Linked DNA regions of Neodiprion lecontei. The protein of the gene in region 1 interacts with the protein of each later gene in a pairwise test. Links are inferred from orthologs where the notes say so. Each region holds a gene or a part of one and is shown on either strand. Other genes may lie near its edges.

Region 1 (6,541 bases):
AAACGGAAATATCGTTTACCGTGTCGCAGAGACATACTTGCACGCAGTACGCATATACGTACAAACCAAGGCATAAGATTTGGTTGTACATACGATACGTTGCTCGAATATTCAACGATGCTAAGTGAGACGTTAATTCTTACGAAGATAACGCGGGAGAATTTTCCGTCGATTGAAAACTACTACATGCAGTACACGCAACAGCGTGTGTATATTTATAACGATGGGGGGGGGGGGAGGGGGATGATAATAAAAGTTTCACAGCGGTTTAAAGTTGTAACGTGTAAACTTGGGAAATAATGCGAAGCGAAAAGCGGAAGTAAAAAAGTGGCGGAAAGTTTTTATGTTACGCGAGGTTACCTCGCGTGACTTCTTAGGTAAGATTTTTAACTCTTGTGCGGGTGAAAAAGTCGCGCGCGACATGTTGCGCGCTGCTTTCAATTGGTAAAGAAGAACACGACACGAGCAACGGAGTAAGTTTAATACTACTCGAGTAGTTTGATACTCGCGCAACAATAACTAATACCGAAACTTATATTATTTGTCAATTTGACGATGAAAGAAAGAAAGCGGACACGTTGTGTGCGATTTGTGGGTAACGATGTTGCAGCTGCGGGTGAAGATCGACGAATTATCACGTGAAATGCAAACGTAACGACGCGGAGATGTGACAGAGATCGTCGAAATAAGACGTGGAAATAACTATGCCTGTATCGTAAATCATACAAAACGTAACGACGCGTCGACAATATACGGCCACAGCGGCGACCTTGGTTAATTGAAGTATCAAACTGACGATAAAAAAAAAACACACCGACGATAGCGAGAAATACACGCTATTTTATACGTCGCACCTGAAAAACTGTGCGTGGAGACGTAGACTTATCGTTGGTTTGGCTCGATATATCCGACAAAATTTATAGCGATGTTGCGGTATAATTGCAGCGGTTAAACTGCACGCGAAATTAGGCGCACAAGTTACGTCGATATCGAACAACTTGTATCTCTATCGCGCTGATTTTTCCTTGGGTAAATTCTCCTCTTAAATCCGACAACCGCGTGAATGTGATCGGAAAATTAATTGGGATCGAAAAAGTCAATCGCGCTGCACGGCTTGATCGCACTCGTCGAAAGTTTTAGCATCATCTCTAAGCCCCCTTTCCCCTCGTCGTCGCTGCGCTCCGAGAGTGTAACAGTGTGTAAATGATGCAGGAAGCCTACGGTGATACATGCGTGTACGGTACATGTAACTGCACAAGAAACGCGCGTCAGGTTGTACGATGCAGGTATTAAAAGTCCGTCGACGGACAAACAACGAGGAGGAAATTACTTGCCTGATGATTTTGTATGGCGTATTTGAGCTTGTTTTGCACGGAGTGTATCTCATCCTGCAAACTTTTCGATATCTCCATAGTCGGGCCTGGAAGTTGGACTCGAGTTATTCCGAAGTTGACGAATTCGCTTCGTTATCGGCACCGCGTTTCAACGACGACACCAGTTGAGTTGAATTTTCTCTCAACAGATATAATTATTCACAAAATAGAGCGAAGCAATATCTCTCTCCTCTCGGCTCCTCGGCACGGCGCGCACCACGGCACTTGCCCGATTCACCCACCACCACAAACAATTGACCATCCGCACAAGTCGGATATTTGACGGGGCCGTGTGTAGGTTTTCACCGACGCGGGCACAACGACGACGACAGACACACGACACACCGAGCAACTTGCGTTAACCCCCCTTTCGGTATTGCCAAAGCTATTTTCCATCTAAGTTGCGGTTAATTTGGGAAAATACCGACCGGTCTACCGGTGTAAACATTTAGCTTGTTTATCGGACAACCTACCCCCGTTGTGTTACACGATATTTCAACTCAGTTTCAATTAAATCTCGGCCATTTAAAAGAGATTTTCCGACGCAGCGGCAGATGTTTTCCCAATAATAAGAGCGCGCAGGGGTGTGTGGTTGATGCCTGCCGAATGATCGTGGCGCCCTCGTCGTGACAACGGCCTGGTCCACAACTCCCGAATTTTCATCCCCCCTTCGGCCCTTCACAGACACTACACGACCAACTACGATTGCCGGCCAGCCCAGCCGGCCCCGAGTTGACATTTTTTTTTCATCAAAAGGCAAAAAGTCTAACGCGCCAGTTTAGCGCGGAACATTTACTTGCGATTTATCACTCATGTTTCGCGAGATATTATCGTACAAATAGACACTAACGCGGTTAACGTGGACTTTTCATCGACAGATTGCATACCGTTTATCAAAACTCAGGTACGCTAGCGATTCTCGACGCTGTATCGTTGCAATGAATTGACAATTGCCACTTTCGAATATACTCCCGATCGAGTGGCGGTTAACCTATAAATGTGTACTTTTTTTTTACTCGCACTCCAATTTCATATCGATCGACTGCTGGTTTTTATTTGTTACGGAAATCACATTGAATGGCGTTATGTTGAAACTGTTTAAGCGGGTAACGGCCGAAATTGATCCAATTCTATTTCGACCGAATCCTTTTCATAACCTCGAAACAGTATTGAATCGACTGTTACTATGTACTTGCATTGCCATGTCAACTTCACCGTAAACCCGCTGTTATATTCAGATCGCATATTCGCTCTTCGACAATTTCAAAATCCTAATGCTTATCGCAATTGCTAAATGTTTCGTAAGAGATAAGCGCCTAACTGGATTAATACCTAAATTCTTACGACACGATAGTCCTTCTATCCTCGGGAATTGAAATATTGCTCTGATAATTTGTTGATTAAATGCAAATCGATTACCACAGCCTGTCTGAAATTAAAACTGAAAAAATCATTCTGATTTTAGACCGCTCAGTGATGGCTGGCAAACGAACTGCTACCTCAGAGCTGAATCACGATAATTGGAACGATGAAGAAACTCGGGAAGAGGCAGGAACGTTTAGCAAAGCATCGAAAGAAGATTTGCAGAGAAGAGTCATCAAATCGGCCAGACGGCGAATAGTCAACAGCGGAGGGGATGTAAGTTTGGAAACATTGCTGAAAAATACAAAGATCCCTAGCACCAAAGCGCATTGCTTTTTTGTTGTCCGAAGTTGATTGTATCTCGTAATATTTCAAACTGTTTCAGGATGCACCAAAAGCAGCGTTTGGCGCGTTTACTGCTTTCAAAACTGCTGCACCTGCCGGTTCTTCACCCTTTAGCTTCCTTGCAAATACTAGTAATGCAACAAATACGAAGAGTAGTGAAAAAACGGTAGCTAATAAAGTAGGTTCGAGCAATGGATCGGTTAACCCAGCAGCGAATGGGCCAGAAAGCAAAGATTCTTCTTCGTTGAAACAGGAATCAATGTCGAAAAATTCGGATGCTAAGCATTTTCCAACTGGAAAGGAAGATGGGAAGATTTTCAAAAAATCAACAGATTATTATGCAAAATTGAAGGGACTTAACGAAAGCGTCACTCAATGGATCAAGTCACACGTAGATTCAAATCCGTTTTGTATTTTAACCCCAATATTTAAAGATTATGACAAGCATCTTAAAGAAATTGAAGCTAAACACGGACAGGAAACCACCCCGACAATTTTGAGCCCAGAAAAGACTGGGGAAAAATCTAACTTGGAAAGTTCACCCGTTAAGAGTAAGTCGAATTTGGAAACTGGAAAGACTGAATCACAGACTAAGAAGTCGGTCTTTAGTAATCCATCAGTGGGAAATGCAGAGTCGAAAAGCGAATCATCGATTTTCAAGAATGTGAATGTTGGAAAATCGTTATTCGGGAATACTGAAACTACCTCGGAAGTCAAAAGCGTTTTTGGCAGTGTTTCCACTGAACGGAATCCATTTTTAAGTACATCATTTACAGCTGTAGAAGATAAGAAAAAGGAAACCGAATCTGACATTACTGATCAGAAACCAACAGCAAGTCTTTCGTGTCCACCATCTGGTCCCACAGCCACATTCAGCTTTGGCCAAAGTTCAGCAACCAGTACAGCTTCGGCAGGATTCAGTTTCGGAGGGTACGTCCTCTTTCCGGGAGTAAATTTTTTATTGGTTGTTACGATGAGTTTCATATTCCGTTTTCATGTTTTTCTACCCATATATTCACGAAATATTGAAACATTATCAGCCTTCTTTTTGTAATTGTATCTATATATCTCCTTACAGTGGAAAACCATTTTCTTTTGGCAATGTGGCTAAAACTACAGAAGCAGAAGAGACTAAAGAAGATGAAGAAAAAGATGATGATGACGAACCACCGAAACCAGACTTCAAACCAATCACGGAAGACGATGCAATTTATGAACAACGGTAAGACAGTTGAAAGGAACATGCGATTCTTATTTATCTGTTTTATATGAAATTTACCTAAATATGTTTGTTACGTACTATGTTCTAGTGAATATTTGTTCACTACACTAGCACGATATTCAATGGCAGATGAAATTTATGGGATATAAATTGCTTTTCGCAGATGCAAGGTATTTGTCAAAAAAGATGGAAATTTTGCTGATCGAGGAGTAGGTACCCTGTTTCTGAAGCCTACACCCAACGACAAAACACAGCTAATAGTGCGTGCCGATACTTCGTGCGGAAATTTACTCTTGAATACAATATTAACCGAGGGCATACCAATGCAGCGTATGGGAAAGAATAACGTTATGATGGTTCTTCTTCCAACACCAGATTCCAAACCACCACCGACACCAGTTTTGTTAAGAGTTAAGACAAGCGAGGACGCCGATGCGTTGTTAGAAAAGCTTAATAAGCACAAGAAATGATTTTTTTAATCATGCCCACCGACCATTGTTCAACGGATATCAATCCATAAGTCATTATGGCAGATGTCAATTCTTGAATGAAAGCAAAACAATCGTGAATGTGTACATGTTTCTTATCAGAAACTAAAGATGCTATATAAATGTTAATGTACGACATTTACAGCTTAGTACTATTGATATAGATAATAATACGCAAGTAGAATACAGTCTCGTCAGTTTTACATTTACACAATGATCACAATCGTGATCAATAATTGGAATATTGCAACAAACGAATTCAAGCTTCAAATAAATCACGCGAATACGCATTCGGAACAAATTGAACTCGGACGCGTTTATATGTTGATGAGTTATACACAAATAAGTGGTTTCTGCTAAACTCATTACAGGAATACTCCCTGTTCACCTCATTTGATTTTAGAAAGAATAAAAGCCACTTTTATATATGAGATCGTTTAGTCTTGGTATTATAAATACTGCAAAAAAAATTTTACCGACACTTCCTCCAAATTGTTACTGTAGATAAGAAATTTTTTTAAGTGGCGATAAGAAATAGTAACTTACTTAAGTTATCAGAGACAGAAAATGAATCTATGTAAAATGGATTCTATGCTCTATTATCGACAATAGTGTCGTATCGTGGGTGATGACGTGTTAACGTAAATGCAAATGGATCTAGTAATGCATGTGACCGAACATTACAACGTCTGTATCTGTTAGTACTAATCGAAAATATAATTAACTCTTTCAGACAGATGAGTAACCAACGATGATACGCGACCGTCAGTTGAACAAAAATTGAAACGAATAAACTCTCATCATTGACCAGTAATACATCGGATATTCAAAATACTTTAGGTCAACTTTTTTGTATTAAAGTCTTAGATGCGCGTTGCTGTGAATTTATTATTAGCCTTTATTCCGTAAAATTTTACTTTTTACTTGTGTTGAAATAAATATTACGGGAATAAAATGAATTATAGTGAGTTTCCACGATACTTTGATACGAATAAAAGTACACTGTTACATAATCCCCATGTTAAATAATTAACTGTATATAAATAAAGCATCTGAAATTATACCGCTACATGTAGTTGAATTACATTGAGTATCCTTTCCCTCAAAAAGCAACAATTCAGGGATATATAAATCTGTTTAGAACGTCTCCATCTCAAATTATGTTTCATCTATTATTTTAGATACAATTTATAGCGCCTGTATAATATATGCAACTCGTAATATTCTACATTTCCTCATACCTTTTAATTTCCGTAAAATATTAATTTCTCCATTTATTATTAGGGTATGAACGTGTATAATAGTAATTAAATATTTTCAATCGTCTCAAGTATTCAACACAACATTCTTCTAGTTACAATTTTTTCATAATATTTTTCTTTTACTATTTAATATTATTACTAAATGTTTTAATCCTAAGATATATATTTGTAATTGTAAGTAAATACATAATTATTTTCAACGCAAGTATTAACTGTGTAATTGAACGTTAGCAGTGGTGCAGAAATACGGACGAAAAAAAAAAAAGATCTTTTCTATTTTTACCGAAGTGATGCATACAAAATTTTGCAACGGGCAACAATGTTTGCCATTGCATTTATCACACCACTTTACACCTCTATAAAGTACACAATAAGATACTAGATATATTATGTAGACATTTAATTCAAAGTAAATGACTTGAGTAAAAATTTTTGCTGATAATGTCAAGAAAATATTGATTATTGCAGAAAGATCAGAAGAATCATTCC
Region 2 (5,252 bases), on another chromosome or scaffold:
TTTTTCTCCATTGTAATGACCTTGACATCAGCTCTTGCGGTAAGTGACAAAGAATAAGAAACATTGTAAATCCCTTTAAAATATGCAAACAAGTATAATTGCTATTTTTGGTTCTACTAAATTTCAGGAGCAATGATCTTCATTGCTTCAATGCATACAAAATTGTGTTTTCCAATTCTTATGTCATTGATTTAATATTTTACATTTCCTACAAATAAATTTGTATGGGCGATTACCTTACGTTAATGGTTGAATGTATTTACTCTATTACCAATTTTGTTGTTTTATTTTTTTATTTTTCAATAACTGTATTATGTTTTATTTGCAGTTCCATAAAGCTGGATTAGCCCTCATATTTATAATCATACAGTCACTGGCAATGACATGGTATTCCCTTTCATATATACCATATGCCCGTGATGCCGTCAAGAAGACAATAGGAACATGCATTACGTGAACTACAATTTATGTGTCCAAATGTAACAATATCATGAGTAATATGCTCAGGCATGAGAAATTATTGTATACACAAATGATAAAATGTAAATGAACTAACCAATTATGTGAGCTGCAAAGGGTATCCAGTAATTTTGGAAGCTCGAGTGGTCGTATAAAATATCCTGATATATAAGACTTCTTGAAATAGTTAGGATTATCATGATATCTTACTCATTATAAATTAAATTAAGAAAAGATTTCTGTTATTTAATATTTCTTAAAAAGCTTGGTTTTTGCCATTCTCGGATAATAATTATGGACTGCATTTATACATGTATTGAATAACTTATGATATCTAGTTTAATAAAATCAAATTCATAATCTGTTGATTGTGTCTAAGAGCAAATTTAAGTTTTTATGTTTGACAAACTGGATCGATATCTTGGAAATGGCTTGATGAAAAAATCTGGAATTTACAGGACTTCATATTCAAATGATGGACATGGAAAATTGCGATGCCCCGTACGTATTACTGTATGTTTCTATACGGCAAAATTTGAAAAATTTTTATCACTTTTACCCTTCATACAACTTTTCCAAAAAGTTCCACATTCATTATAACACTATAGAACTGATAATATAAAGCAATAGGAAACAATATTATGACAAACGAAGAATCGATTGAATGGAAAAACAAAATGATTTCAATAATACTTGATGGTATATATGTACAAAAAATAATCCTACTTGAACGACTATGACAAGCACGGTACTTACACATTTGCGTTCGTGCTCCTTGCAAAGACTCCACGATTGGGAGGTTGGCTACATTGTCTACATGTGCGCCCGCGGTGTGAGTATAGTGCGCCTGCTTTTGGGTGCGTTCTGAAATAAATAGGCAACGCTAAAAACTCCCTAGGACAGAGGCACAGCTACTCAAGAACCCCAGCAGCGCAAAAGAGATAAATGATTGTTAACTGGGAAGCCAAGGTCCCTAGATTAGATAGGTCAAGACACGCGTGTTCCAGTTTTTCTCACTATAACGTGGGCAAAAAAGTTGTATGCGCGTTCGCCCACAAAATTTCAAACTTACATATTCCCGCATTAACCAGTTTTGACCAATCATGCTCAATTTTTTGAGGTTAAGCATTAACGAGTTGCGCCCTTAGTGTCCTGACGTTCACGAAATAAATAGAAGCACGTATATATTATGAGGTTAATGATTGTGACAGGTCAGGAATCAGAACCACACTTAGTGCTTTCCATTTAGAGCACAGTGTGACACAGTATACAAATTTCTATTGTTAGCGGCCAATCCGGGCAAAGAAATAGAGCAGAAATGTTTACACCGTGTCGTATTGTGCTCTAAATGAATAGCATCCATTGTCATACGAAACTTTTGGCGCATTCTGACTAATTTTTTTACCTACGTGTGCCTTGACCTGTCTCATCTAGGGACCTTGGTGGAAGCTATCGGAACGCACCTTATGGCAACTTGCGGTACTATTTATCTGGCAACCCTGTTACAGTGATGCAAATCCGGCATTCGGTTAACGGCGCAACAGGTCCAAACAGAAATCTGAATCTTCAAATCTCTGAAGCCCGAGTCGAGTGGAGTCGGCCATCGCTTGACAAACGATCGCTTACTTTCGCGCGGGATCGCGATTTAAGAATATTTCAAAATAATTCAACGTGCATCGTATTCTTCCCCCGTGTAAGGATTATATTCTTCTTACTTAAATCTTTTGCAATCCATTTGGGTTATTTTGTCGATCCGCGAATTCGGGGTTGTAACGTTTCTTTCAAAAACAAGATCAACACGGATCGACACGCGTGCAACCGTTACTTTTCTTTTTCCTCACCAATTTTACAACTCTTTTGAAGATAGGATTTCTTATGTATTTCTAACATCTCATCTTCCAGACAATGCCGACCCCAGAGGAAAACGGATCCGGTCGATTGTCCAAATTCAAGAACCACAACAAGCATGAAGTACGTATATTTTGCAATTATTTGTATCGCATTCATTTTATTATTCAAAAAAGTTGTCTCTCAGATTTGTCTTTTCTTCATTTTCATTTCCATCCAGACAACCAGATTCACTTTTACTGGAAATATTCTGCTTCCCTGGACCAGTCGTCTCTGTGTTGTACAATTCCAACATTTTTTCTTTGTTCTGTACTCCCTCATGTTCTTAAAAAACGAATCTCGTTAAAAAAAATAGATGTACTTAGAAAATCTTTGCTACCCTTATGGCTGATTCCTCGATATATTCCAAATTTAAAAATTACACGGCCAGTAAAAATTTATTTACCTTTGTTTCTAACGTCATAACAGTTTTAATCCAAAGCTATTTATGATATTAAAAATTCAAGGGAAATGAATTTCACTAAGCTGTGTTGTATAATTGAATATGAAAGATCCTAGTGAGAATTTGGCATCATACACAACGATGGCAAAGCACTTCTACAAAAGGTATCGTCGTATTTGATCATATCAAGTAATTGCCATTCTGTCGTCTTTGAAAATACTGTAAATTTTGCAAACCCATCCGATAGAAGTTATAAAGATTTCAGCTATACATTGAAGTCAGTCTGCGGGAACTAACTTAATCCTGCTGTATATAAACTCAAATGATTTTAGTCACTAAGAAAATTATGTGAATGTGTATAAAAAACCATATTAATTTAATTCCATATGATAATTGCTATTCTTTACCCATCCATTTTTTCTGCAATTCAATAACATTTATCTTTGGTACTTATTCAACCCATACGTGCCAGATTTTCAATATCATTTGAATCCATTTTTTCTTTGTTATCTTAGAATATTGAACCCTAATGTATCGACAAATAATTTACCATCAGTTTCTTCCAAACATATTGATAAACGTCTGAAACAAAATTCGTACTAGTCTAATAGTGACTGATCAATATGTAACACTGTAGTCATTAATTAATACCAGACAGTACTGTCCAACAGGAATGATTTGAAAGAAAGTCTGTGATGACTTCAAATTTACTGATTAAATGGAATCTTTAAATCATTACAAAAAAGAAGGTTTTTTATCAATTAAAAATGAAATAAAATTCAGCAGCTAATCACCCAGTCACCCAATACTGTAAATCTATATGTAATTTCCTATATAGACATGTATTCATTCACATGCTTAGTTATAAACCTGTTTTCAAAATACACCCAACTTCCGACTAATCCCTTGAACACCTGGCTCTACAAAGTTATTGGCATGCTCATGGTTGAGTGTTCACTCTATTGACATCGAAGATTTCAAAATAAACCATTCAAAAAGTATGTTTATGCAAATTCTTACCAAATATTATATCATATTTTTTACACAAATCGTACCTTTTTTATATCATAAACTAGCAAGAGAACTTGGATAATTTTTAATATCAATTTTATACCGTTGATCAATTTGTGGAAGTTAAAGTATTCAATGTAACAGATGTCATCTATTCAGTCCATCTTTGCAATCACCATCTCAGTGGATATCATCAAATTATGCAGAAATTAAAAAAAGTTTACTTGACTTCTATTTTGATATTTACTCGTATCGGGCAAGTTTATAACTGTACAAATTGTTATCTATTTAATCAAGGATGTCAGAAGGAGGAGGAACGAGGTTTCGGTTGAGCTGCGCAAGGCTAGAAGAGATGATCAGTTATTGAAACGTCGGAACATCAGTGTTGGGTGTGAGCCCCAGAGCCCCCCAGGGGAGAATGAGACAGCAGTTCCAATCAATCTGAGTACTGAGGAAATTATTACTGGAATGAATTCCAGTGATGAGCCTACTCAACTTCAGGCTACGCAGGCCTGTCGCAAGATGTTGAGCAGAGAGAAAAAGCCTCCGATTGATACCCTGATTCGCCAAGGCATTGTTCCACGTTGCGTCGAATTTCTTAGCCATGATCACAAGTCAGTTTATTACTCTTCTGCATTTAGCTAAACACATCCTACCACTGTCACTTCTAATGGCACCTCACTGCAAAAGTTCGACAAAACTTATTAAGGGGTTTTAAAATATGTGTATACAGCTGAAAAAATGGGTGACTTTTGGGGATTTATACCTCCAAAGCTAATCATTTGTTAGGATTGGGATTTATTTTACTCAAAAGTATGTAGATTGACATTCATTTACATTTTTATTCTTTATTAGAATCGATTAATAGGAAGCACTTTTAATAACAATAACGTCAATAATTATGCTCGATTACATGTTTTTCGATGTCCCAAAAACAGTTAAAAATTGAAGAAAGTATTTTTGAAACGTTGATCCCCATTGCTATGGTCCGAGTTAAAAAAAAAAAAAAAAAAAAAAAAAAGTTACTAGTTAATGATGAGTTTTGATGTTCTGTAAAAATTTTAGGTTTTTTTTTTTGTATTCCACTGGCAAAAAAAAACCAAAAAATGAAAAACAAAAAAAAAAAACTTGGGAGCATGTCAAAGATCCTAAAGTACGGAAGAATAGTGCCTTAAAATTTGAAGTAAATTGGTTGAACTGTTTTTTAGATATAGTGGGCAGCTCAAAACATGTCACCGAGCGAAATGGTTGACGTTAACGTCGATAACAATGCTTCCTATCAGTTGTGGACAATAAAATAAATATCCAAGAGATTTTATATACTTTTGAATGAAACAAACTTCAATGGAATTGAATAATTAGTTGTCTAGATATAAATTACTAAAATTTATCCACTTTGTTTAGCCGTCTACTTTCATCCATACATCCCCTTAACTATCTATACTTATGTTGGAACTTTGAGATTGTGCGTAGAATTTTTTATTTTTTAACA

Evidence for each region.
Region 2: the proteins of nuclear pore complex protein Nup50 (region 1) and importin subunit alpha interact in a two-hybrid assay, tested with the Drosophila melanogaster proteins (2 studies listed by BioGRID). The link is inferred for Neodiprion lecontei from reciprocal best matches to the Drosophila melanogaster genes Nup50 and Pen.

What each region holds. Positions count from the first base shown.
Region 1 is NC_060265.1:9,405,843-9,412,383, forward strand, and holds nuclear pore complex protein Nup50, read left to right. Parts: upstream 1-2,047; 5' UTR 2,048-2,277; intron 2,278-2,838; 5' UTR 2,839-2,849; coding exon 2,850-3,011; intron 3,012-3,120; coding exon 3,121-4,010; intron 4,011-4,158; coding exon 4,159-4,302; intron 4,303-4,465; coding exon 4,466-4,772; 3' UTR 4,773-5,853; downstream 5,854-6,541. Other genes in the region: uncharacterized protein LOC107217553, read right to left, coding at 1,335-1,412.
Region 2 is NC_060266.1:18,041,045-18,046,296, reverse strand, and holds the start of importin subunit alpha, read left to right. Parts: upstream 1-1,954; 5' UTR 1,955-1,969; coding exon 1,970-2,152; intron 2,153-2,361; coding exon 2,362-2,430; intron 2,431-3,984; exon of another isoform or gene 3,985-4,057; coding exon 4,058-4,374; exon of another isoform or gene 4,375-4,441; intron 4,442-5,252. Other genes in the region: vesicle transport protein SFT2B, read left to right, coding at 1-39, 329-457. UniProt on the Drosophila melanogaster protein: Binds specifically and directly to substrates containing either a simple or bipartite NLS motif. Promotes docking of import substrates to the nuclear envelope. Seems to act as a cytosolic receptor for both simple and bipartite NLS motifs.